Tribolium castaneum: one gene and its partner. The protein of the gene in region 1 purifies or fractionates together with the protein of each later gene. This does not show direct contact. Links are inferred from orthologs where the notes say so. Each region holds a gene or a part of one and is shown in the gene's direction. Other genes may lie near its edges. The genes, in order: Noc3 and pescadillo homolog.

Evidence for each region.
Region 2: the proteins of Noc3 (region 1) and pescadillo homolog purify together in Homo sapiens (affinity purification with mass spectrometry; 3 studies listed by BioGRID and IntAct, counting the BioPlex papers as one, with this or other methods). This does not show direct contact. The link is inferred for Tribolium castaneum from reciprocal best matches to the Homo sapiens genes NOC3L and PES1.

Annotation. Positions count from the first base shown.
Region 1 is NC_087396.1:23,831,234-23,835,503, forward strand, and holds Noc3 (nucleolar complex protein 3), read left to right. Parts: upstream 1-1,379; 5' UTR 1,380-1,482; coding exon 1,483-1,637; intron 1,638-1,691; coding exon 1,692-1,846; intron 1,847-1,893; coding exon 1,894-2,241; intron 2,242-2,287; coding exon 2,288-2,421; intron 2,422-2,477; coding exon 2,478-2,678; intron 2,679-2,724; coding exon 2,725-3,095; intron 3,096-3,359; coding exon 3,360-3,980; intron 3,981-4,033; coding exon 4,034-4,220; 3' UTR 4,221-4,246; downstream 4,247-4,270. Other genes in the region: Hasp (complement factor H), read right to left, coding at 698-746. UniProt on the Homo sapiens protein: May be required for adipogenesis.
Region 2 is NC_087395.1:18,780,099-18,784,416, reverse strand, and holds pescadillo homolog, read left to right. Parts: upstream 1-1,543; 5' UTR 1,544-1,846; coding exon 1,847-1,870; intron 1,871-1,921; coding exon 1,922-3,652; 3' UTR 3,653-3,777; downstream 3,778-4,318. Other genes in the region: pelo (protein pelota), read right to left, coding at 3,891-3,979. UniProt on the Homo sapiens protein: Component of the PeBoW complex, which is required for maturation of 28S and 5.8S ribosomal RNAs and formation of the 60S ribosome.

The DNA of each region.
Region 1 (4,270 bases):
TGGCTGTTTTATGACTTTGCTTTTTAAAGAGGCATTACTTAAATATATTCACCAGTCAAAACAAACTTTTGCAAAATTGTGTATCTTCGATCATAGATAAACACAAACTTTGTACCATGATGTCTGTTTGAGTGACACAAATGCAGGTTTAACAGCCCTATAGAAATTTATCAAGCGGAAGAATCGCATTTTGCGACCCACAAAAGTCGGATCTTAAACGATTGTTTGATCAGACTGGGGATAATAATGTTAAACAATTTATTTTTATATGAAAGAGCAGCGCAAAGGTAGAGAATTTATGTATTTGCATAGCAAGTCGCGTGACAAAAAAATATTTCCCTAATTTTATTAAAGTAAATGTTTCTGAAACCGTATTCGGAGTGCATTTGCTAATGTGTAACCGCAGAGAAAAGCCCAAAGAGCGGTGGTTGGGCAAATGCAGCAATAACGAATTTAATTACAATCCATTTATCTTTGTTTAGGCCCTACTACAAAACACAAGTCAGAGTTTGAACGCGTAATTGGTGGGTTTTTCGTTCTATTGGCAAAGTTTGCTCCAATTCGCCGAGATGATGATAAATTTGGCGCAATTAGTATTCATTAGTCGCTTAGGGGTTGATAAATCACCCCTGTACACACATTTGGCGCCCACACATGAAGGATTTTTGTTGATGAGACAATAACGTATTGTTCTTACCTTGGCTCACGGCGATGCCAAGAATCAACCAACTCCACACTTTGTGCATGTTTACAAAGTTTCCAAACACACAGATTTTACATTATTGGTGCAGAGTTTCAAATAAATTACATTTTTGATTTTCACATTGTTTGGATTAAAAAAAATGAATTTTTGTAATTTTTTTTGAGCCGCAGCCGCACGTAATTTTACGCCGAAAGCTCGAAGTCAATATTTGGAAAACACACTTCCGGTTCTAGCGACGGCTGTACAGCATCTGATTCTGCCGTGATCTGTGATGTAGCCAGACGCCGCGACGGCAGTGGAAGGGCAGAACAGACGCCTGAAAAATCCAGTTCGCGCCAAATACGAATTCAAGCTTCGAAAGCTTTTGGGCAAAAATTAACAATTATTCATTTTATTTGAATTTTTTATCGCGCATATGGAGTATATAGAACTCATATGAGGGTAAAACGTACTTTTTCTACTTTGGTATCACAAACTGTTCATTGTGAAACCGAAAGAAGTTTCACAAAGAGAACTTTTGTGTATAAAAGTCCGGACAATTAACAAAATTAAAAGGAAATAATTTAAATCGATTTTGATAAGTTTAACTAAACAAAAAAAAGTATAAGTTATAACACTTGTTCTAATGAACCACGACGAAGGAATTCGAACTAAGCCGATTTCTGGCAAACTTTGTTTCGACTATCCAGAAATTCTCCAGTTCTGGATTGGAATAAACAACGATTGAGGTTAGGTGGGATTATAAAAACGTGTTTAAATTTGCAAAAAAAAATAAAAAAATGGGAAAATTGCAACATTCCGAAAGTGAGGAGGAAAATGATAGTGATTATGGGGAGGACATGCTTGAAATGGTCGAAGAGGACGACTTGGACTTCCTCAAAAATGCCATAACTTCAAAATCGTACAACATTTTCAACAAAGTCAAGTATTCCGGGTGAGATTTTGAATAATGTATAGGAGATTTTGCTCAAACCCCAGATTTTTCAAGTGCCCCTAAACCCAAAAGGCGCCGCTTAAATAATGAAGACTCGGATCTGGAGAAAGAGTTTGAGGAGCAAACTGTTGAAGACACCCCCATGAAAAATCTCCTACCCATCAAAACTAAGTTTGGAATTGTGCCGCAACAAATTGAGGACGAGTCCGGTTTGTTTAACTTGTGGGTGACGCTAAATTCTATTTTAAAAATTTAGGCGAGAAATCTGAAGATGAAGCCGAAGAAGACGAAACGCAGGAGCAGTTTGACCTAGTTGACGATAAAATTGATATTTCGAAACCAATTCCTGCGGCACATTTATTGGCCGAGCGACAGAAAGTTTTAAGAGAGAAAAAAATTCACATTGGGACTTTGAGTGCCGGTGTTTTGGAAAATCCCGAAGAAAAAGTAACAAATCTACGAACTTTACTCAAACTAATGGATGAGGAAAGTAGCGAAGTGTTTTTCACTGTGAGGAAATTGGCCACTGTGTCGCTCCTAGAAGTGTTCAAAGACGTTTTGCCTTCATATGAAATCAAAAAAGTCAACAATGATGGAGTGAAATGTTGGTATTTTTTACGATTGGTTTTGTGTTTAATTACGGTTTTTAGTGAAAAAGGATACATTAAAATTACAAAAATATGAAGAAAGTTTAGTGCAATATTACAAAAAGTTTTTGCAAAAGCTTGAAAAGAACTCTTCGGTTTTGCTCAAGAAAAAAGGTGACACAAGAAAATTTCACGAAGTAATTGATTTGTTCTTGTCACGTAATATTTCTCTGATATTTTTTTTCATTTGTAGGAAGAAATTAAATTGGCTGAACTAGCAGTGCAGGCATTATGTGACTTACTAGTTGCACACCCTTATTTCAATTATGCCCAAAATATAGCACAAGCTGTTGTTCCCTTCTTAAATAACGTAAGAAGTAACATACGGGAAATTGCAAAAAATGCAATAAGAACAGTTTTCAAGGAGGATAAAAGGGAAGAAATCATACTAAAGGTGAAAATAATAAAAAATTATTTACTTTTGTAACGTTTTATTTAAGATTTTACGAATAATCAACGCCTATTTAAAAAACCGAGCTCACAATGTTCATCCCGACATGTTAGAGACATTCCTTGTTCTTAATTTACGAGACGTTAATTTAGACGAGGAAAAGGAGCAAGACATTAAACAGAAAAAATTGATGGCACGCAAACAAAAAGTACTACAAATGTCCAAAAAAGAGCGCAAACGTAAGAAAAAACTTCAAATGTTGGAACAGGAATTACTAGAAACTAAAGCTGAAGAGAACAAACAGTCAAAACAGCGCAACTTGACTGAAATCACAAAAATAGTTTTCGGGGTTTATTTCAGAATTTTGAAAAGTTCGACCAATAATAAAGTTCTGGGCGTTTGTCTAGAAGGCCTGGCAAAGTAATTGTTTAACTCGCGTCTTGATTGGTGGGAACTTTGCCATGACATCAAATTTGACACTGTACAACTAGATTTTCTTAACTTTTATATTTTTTTTTCAATTTTGATAATTTTGAAACAATAAACAAGTTATGAAAAGAAAAAATTAGGTTCCAATTCATCATCAACTTAAAAAATTACGAGATTACGTCGCTGTGGTGATTCCCTATCAATCAAAGCGGCTTGGTTTAAGTTATCAAAATTATTAACAATCTCCAATTTCAGGTTTTCTCATTGCATAAATATAGAATATTACTTAGACCTTGTCAACATTTTGGACAATTTATTGAAAGAAGAGTGGATCGGTTACAGAGAGCAGTTACATTGCGTCCAAACTGTTTTTTCTATTCTGAGCGGACAAGGAGAAGCTTTAAATGTAGACCCGACTCGTTTTTACACCAATTTATACAAAGGTCTCCTCACAACCAACGCCTCTAAAAACCACTCAAATTTTCTTATTCTTTTGAAAACACTCAACGATGCTCTGATCAAAAGACGCAAAAAAATAACAAATAAAAGGACGCTCAGTTTCGTGAAACGTTTGGCCACTCTTAGCTTACAATTGTTGCATAATGGTAGTTTAGGGAGCCTTGGTCTTATCAAAAACATAATGCAGCTTAACAGAACAGTGGATATCCTCCTAGACTTGGATAATTCGTTCGGAGACGGAAAATATCAGCCAGAACTGGAAGACCCTGAATATGCGAACGCGTCAAGTACCGGTTTATACGAACTGAATTTGTTGGTGAGACATTACCATCCTGTTGTCACCAAATACGCCAGAAATATCGCTTTTGGGGTCCCCGCCACGGGGGAAGGCAGCCTTGACCCCGAATACGCCAAATGGTAAATAAAAAAATTTGAATTCAAGTTGGTAACGCCGAATTGTTTTGTTTCAGCACACCTGAGCAACTCTACCACGATTTTGACATGTGTGAAATGGCCTTCAACCCCCCTGTCCCTGTCCCCAAAAAAGTGGCCCCTAAGGAGAAGCACCAAAAGCACCTATTTGCCGATTCGGCCTTCGAGAGCCAGTGCAAAAGTATAGTTAGGGCACATTTGAAACGCAAAGCGAGTTTTTTGTAAAATAAAAGATAAATTTTTTGAATTTATTAGAAGTTGGTTTTATTGGGTTT
Region 2 (4,318 bases), on another chromosome or scaffold:
ACGTCATCACACGTCTAAAACAAGTCATAACCAGAAACATTCACTGTCCAAATCCGTCAAATTTAGAAACATTCATACACAGAATTATTCAAAATAGAACAGTATTGATCTAGAAAAATAAATTATGACAAATGTATTTGTCTATAAACGTCTAAAATTATAAAAGTTTCGCATGCAGTTAATGGAAAAATAAAAATGCATGTTTATATTTAAACAGAAACTGGCAATGTGAAATTTTAGTGCGAAAATTAGTGGTAGAGCTCGGAAACTCTGTAAACGACCACGATAGGCGGAGCCATGGCCTCCTAGATGTATTGAGACAACTTCGTTGTTCAGGCCTGGCGCATCGCTAAGTTCGGCTGATTCTCCACTGGCGCTGCATTTAGCGGACTGACGTTTATTTGACAAATACCAATTTTGAGGTTAAAGACTAATAAATTTGAAAGATGTAAATGTGCATTCGTGAAATACGTAGGAAATGTGAGGATAATTCTAAAGTTGTGCCCTGAACGAACGTTTGGATAGTGTAACTCTTGCAGGAAATCATTTTACGATCATTAGGATTTTTTATTTTCAGCTTCAGAAGATATACAAATTATTTTAGGGTGAATTGGTGGTTCGTCATCGTTTATAAATATTAAAGAAAACGATGTTTCAAAGTACCTTTCATTTATTAGGCATACTATATGGTTTTACCAATGGTTTAGGTAGAATGCGTTACAAATCTGTGATTTTTAAGACATGGCTTAAGTTTTCTGAAAGGTATTTGCAACCTTTTAATCAGCAGATATTTGCAATACATTGTTTAGGCAAATGAAACTATTTTGCACACACGTATTTTCAAAACCTGCTATTGTTAATTTAATTTTAGTAAAATGTACAAAGAATGTCGTTTTTTTCAAATGAAATGGTTTAAAAAAGCTCGATCCAGCGTTCCTCTGCTGCGTTACTCTCTGCTGGAGTATCTCTGGACCGTCCGTTCCAAAGTCCCTGCCATAGATTATAGTTAATTATAGTCCCTGTCTAGACCTCTGCTCACTCTCACGCACCGCTCGTGAATCACCAAACTCCCGAAAAAAATCTACTACTTTATTAATTTTTTTGAGTTTTTGTATTTATTGTTGTATTTGTTTACAATTACATTGTAAGCTCTTTTTCACCTTCTCTTCTGCTAATTGTACTTGTTAAATTCAATTTTTTTGTCGGATTTAACCTCACAAATGCTATTTGTCAGATAAACGTCAGTGCGCTAAATAGGGCGCCATCTACGGTCTCGAAAAAACCGCTGAAGCTTATCGATGCGCCAGGCCTGAACAACGAAGTTGTCTCCATACATCAAGGAGGCCATGAGTGAGGAGATTGAGCAGTGGCGTAGCAAAAAACTATTCTATGATCAAGAAGGGTTTGAGATTCATAATTTGTAGTAGTTAAAATTTCCTCTATTCAATAATTGCAAGATGAAATAGTAAAAATCATATCTAATGCTAATACACGTTGATTTCCTAAAAATACACAGCAGAGAGGTCGAATAAATAAAAATACACAATGAGTAAAGAGTAAAAACGCGTTTATTGCAAAAAATGTTTCTACTGGTATCTTTACTATAACTGGTAATATTGAAATGTTAAACTTTAAGACGAATTCCCTACAGATGTAAGTACACGCCACGCCACTGTTTTCTGCCAACACCCCTAATTTAAAGATTGGACTCGTCCGAGACGAGTTTTCGTCTCTGCGCACTCCTACCACCGTGGACGATCTGTCATTTCGCGGACTCTAACCTCAAAACAACACGTGTTGGCATTTCTCCAGTTGTTAACGTTTTAGTGTATTATTTTGTTAAAACATGGTTTCCAAACGCAAAAAGAAGGTAACACCACCCCTACCTTACCATTTCAAATGTTTCATTATCACTTTGTAGTACACAACCGGCGAGGGTGCCCAATTCATGACCCGCAAAGCGGCCCTCAAAAAGCTCCAATTATCCCTCAACGACTTCCGCCGCATCTGCATCCTTAAGGGCATCTACCCCCGTGAGCCCCGAAACCGCAAACGTGCCCAGAAGGGCCAGTCCGGTATCAAAACCCTCTACCACGTCAAAGACATCCAATTTCTGTTACACGAGCCCATGATTTGGCGCCTTCGCGACTACAAAATCTTCAACAAGAAAGTCGGGCGTGCCCGAGCTGTTAAAGACTTCGAATCGTTGAAGAAATACCTGAATAACCACCCAACTTTGAAACTCGACCACATTGTCAAAGAGCGATACCCCACGTTTTTGGACGCGTTGCGCGACCTGGACGACTGTCTCACTTTGTGTTTCTTGTTCAGTACGTTTCCGTCAATCCCTCACGTCCCCCGCGACCAGAGTGCGCTGTGTCAGAGGCTCACAATTGAGTTTTTACACGCGGTGATCGAGGCCAAGGCCCTAAGGAAAGTTTTTATTTCAATCAAGGGGTATTACTACCAAGCGGAAATCAAAGGTGAGACCATTACGTGGATTGTGCCCCACCATTTCGCGTTCGAGCCCCAGAGCAAGGCCGAAGTCGATTTTAAGTTAATGTCGACTTTTGTCGAGTTTTACACGATTATGTTGGGTTTTGTCAATTTCCGGCTCTACCACCAATTAAATCTTTACTATCCTCCCAAATTCACAAATTTGAGCCAAACAGACAGTGAGAAAGAAATCGTAGACGAGGGGATTTTTGTGTCAGAACGTGTGGCAGCCCTTAATTTCCCTCTATCCAAAAGTACGAATTCAGCAATTGAGGACGAAGTCGAAATTGATAATTTCAACACTGAGAACAGTCCGGAGAAAATCGAAGAGGCGCGAATTGAGGCTGAAAAAATAAAAAAATTGAAGACACTTTTCAAGGGACTGAAGTTCTTTTTGAATCGAGAAGTTCCAAGAGAACCTCTCGTGTTTATTATCCGTTGTTTCGGGGGCGAAGTCTCGTGGGATAAGTTACTTTTTGTGGGGGCCACGTTTGATGAAAATGACGAGTCGATTACGCACCAAATTGTTGATCGACCCTCAATGGAGAAGCAATACATTTCACGATATTACGTTCAGCCCCAGTGGATTTTTGATAGTGTTAATGCGAGGGAACTCCTCCCTGTTAATAAATACTTTATGGGGGAGATTCTCCCCCCGCATTTATCGCCGTTTACTAACGAAGGGCGGCATCAGGAGTATATGCCTCCGGAGGAAAAGGCTCTGTATGATCCTGAAGCTTTGGAGGAGTTGCATAAGAAGGGAGAAAGTGATGAGGATGCAGACGAAGAAGAAGAAGAAACTGAAAATGCAGACACAACGAACGAACAAGTTGAAGAAGAGGAAGAAGAAGACGAGGATGAAGAAGTTGAAGCGGAGGAAACGGCGCCTGTGAAAAAGAAATTAAAGGTAACTCCAGGTGAAATATACAAGGAAGTTCCTTGGGAGAAGAGTCGGCAAGAGAGGCAGGAATATAAACTTAGGGAAAAGTTGGTTAAAAACAAACACCGAAAACTGTACAAGAGCATGATGGCCGGCCGCAAAGAAAGGGCGAAAGAGATTTGGTTGTTGAGGAAGAAGCGACGATTACACGATGAGAAACAAAAAGAAGAAAAGAAAGCGAAAAAGAAACAACAAAAAAGCGCGTCAGTTTCATAATTATTTTATTTTTTATAAAGTACATAAAATATTTCAGTGGATTAAGTTATGCAATAAATAGTAATCTTCCTGTTACTTAATTGTACATCTTATAAATAAATAGAATTGAAGGAATTCACTAAAAATCTACAGCAATTATTCACATAACAATTAAAAATATACAACAAATTCCCTAATTTATTTAAAAATGATCAACAAAGAGTTAAAAACGCGAATACAACCAGTGTTTTTGACATGATTAGTCTTCGGTCTCGCTTTCATCGTCTTCGTCGAGTTCGGGCATTGGGAAGCGGAGAATTGCTGCAATGCCGGTCAATTGTTCTAGTTCTAGAAAGCAAAAATGATAGTCAGTTGCATAATTTTTTTCAGTGAGCAGTATAGCCCCATCTAAGTATTTTTGAGTTACATAACAATTTTTTCTACAACCTTGTCAATTTTTAGCACGTAAAATTATAACAAAACAAAAAAACGTAACACAAGAAACATAAATAAAAATAAAGGGATTTTTGATGCAATTTTCTCGTGAACGAAATTGTTATTGGAAACTCAGACTCCAAAAGTATATACTTTGAAATTTAACTCAAAAAGAGCATAAAATGTAAAACAGCATTTTTAAGACCTAATTTCGTGATATCTTATTTATTTTTATTTTGGATAAACATTCTT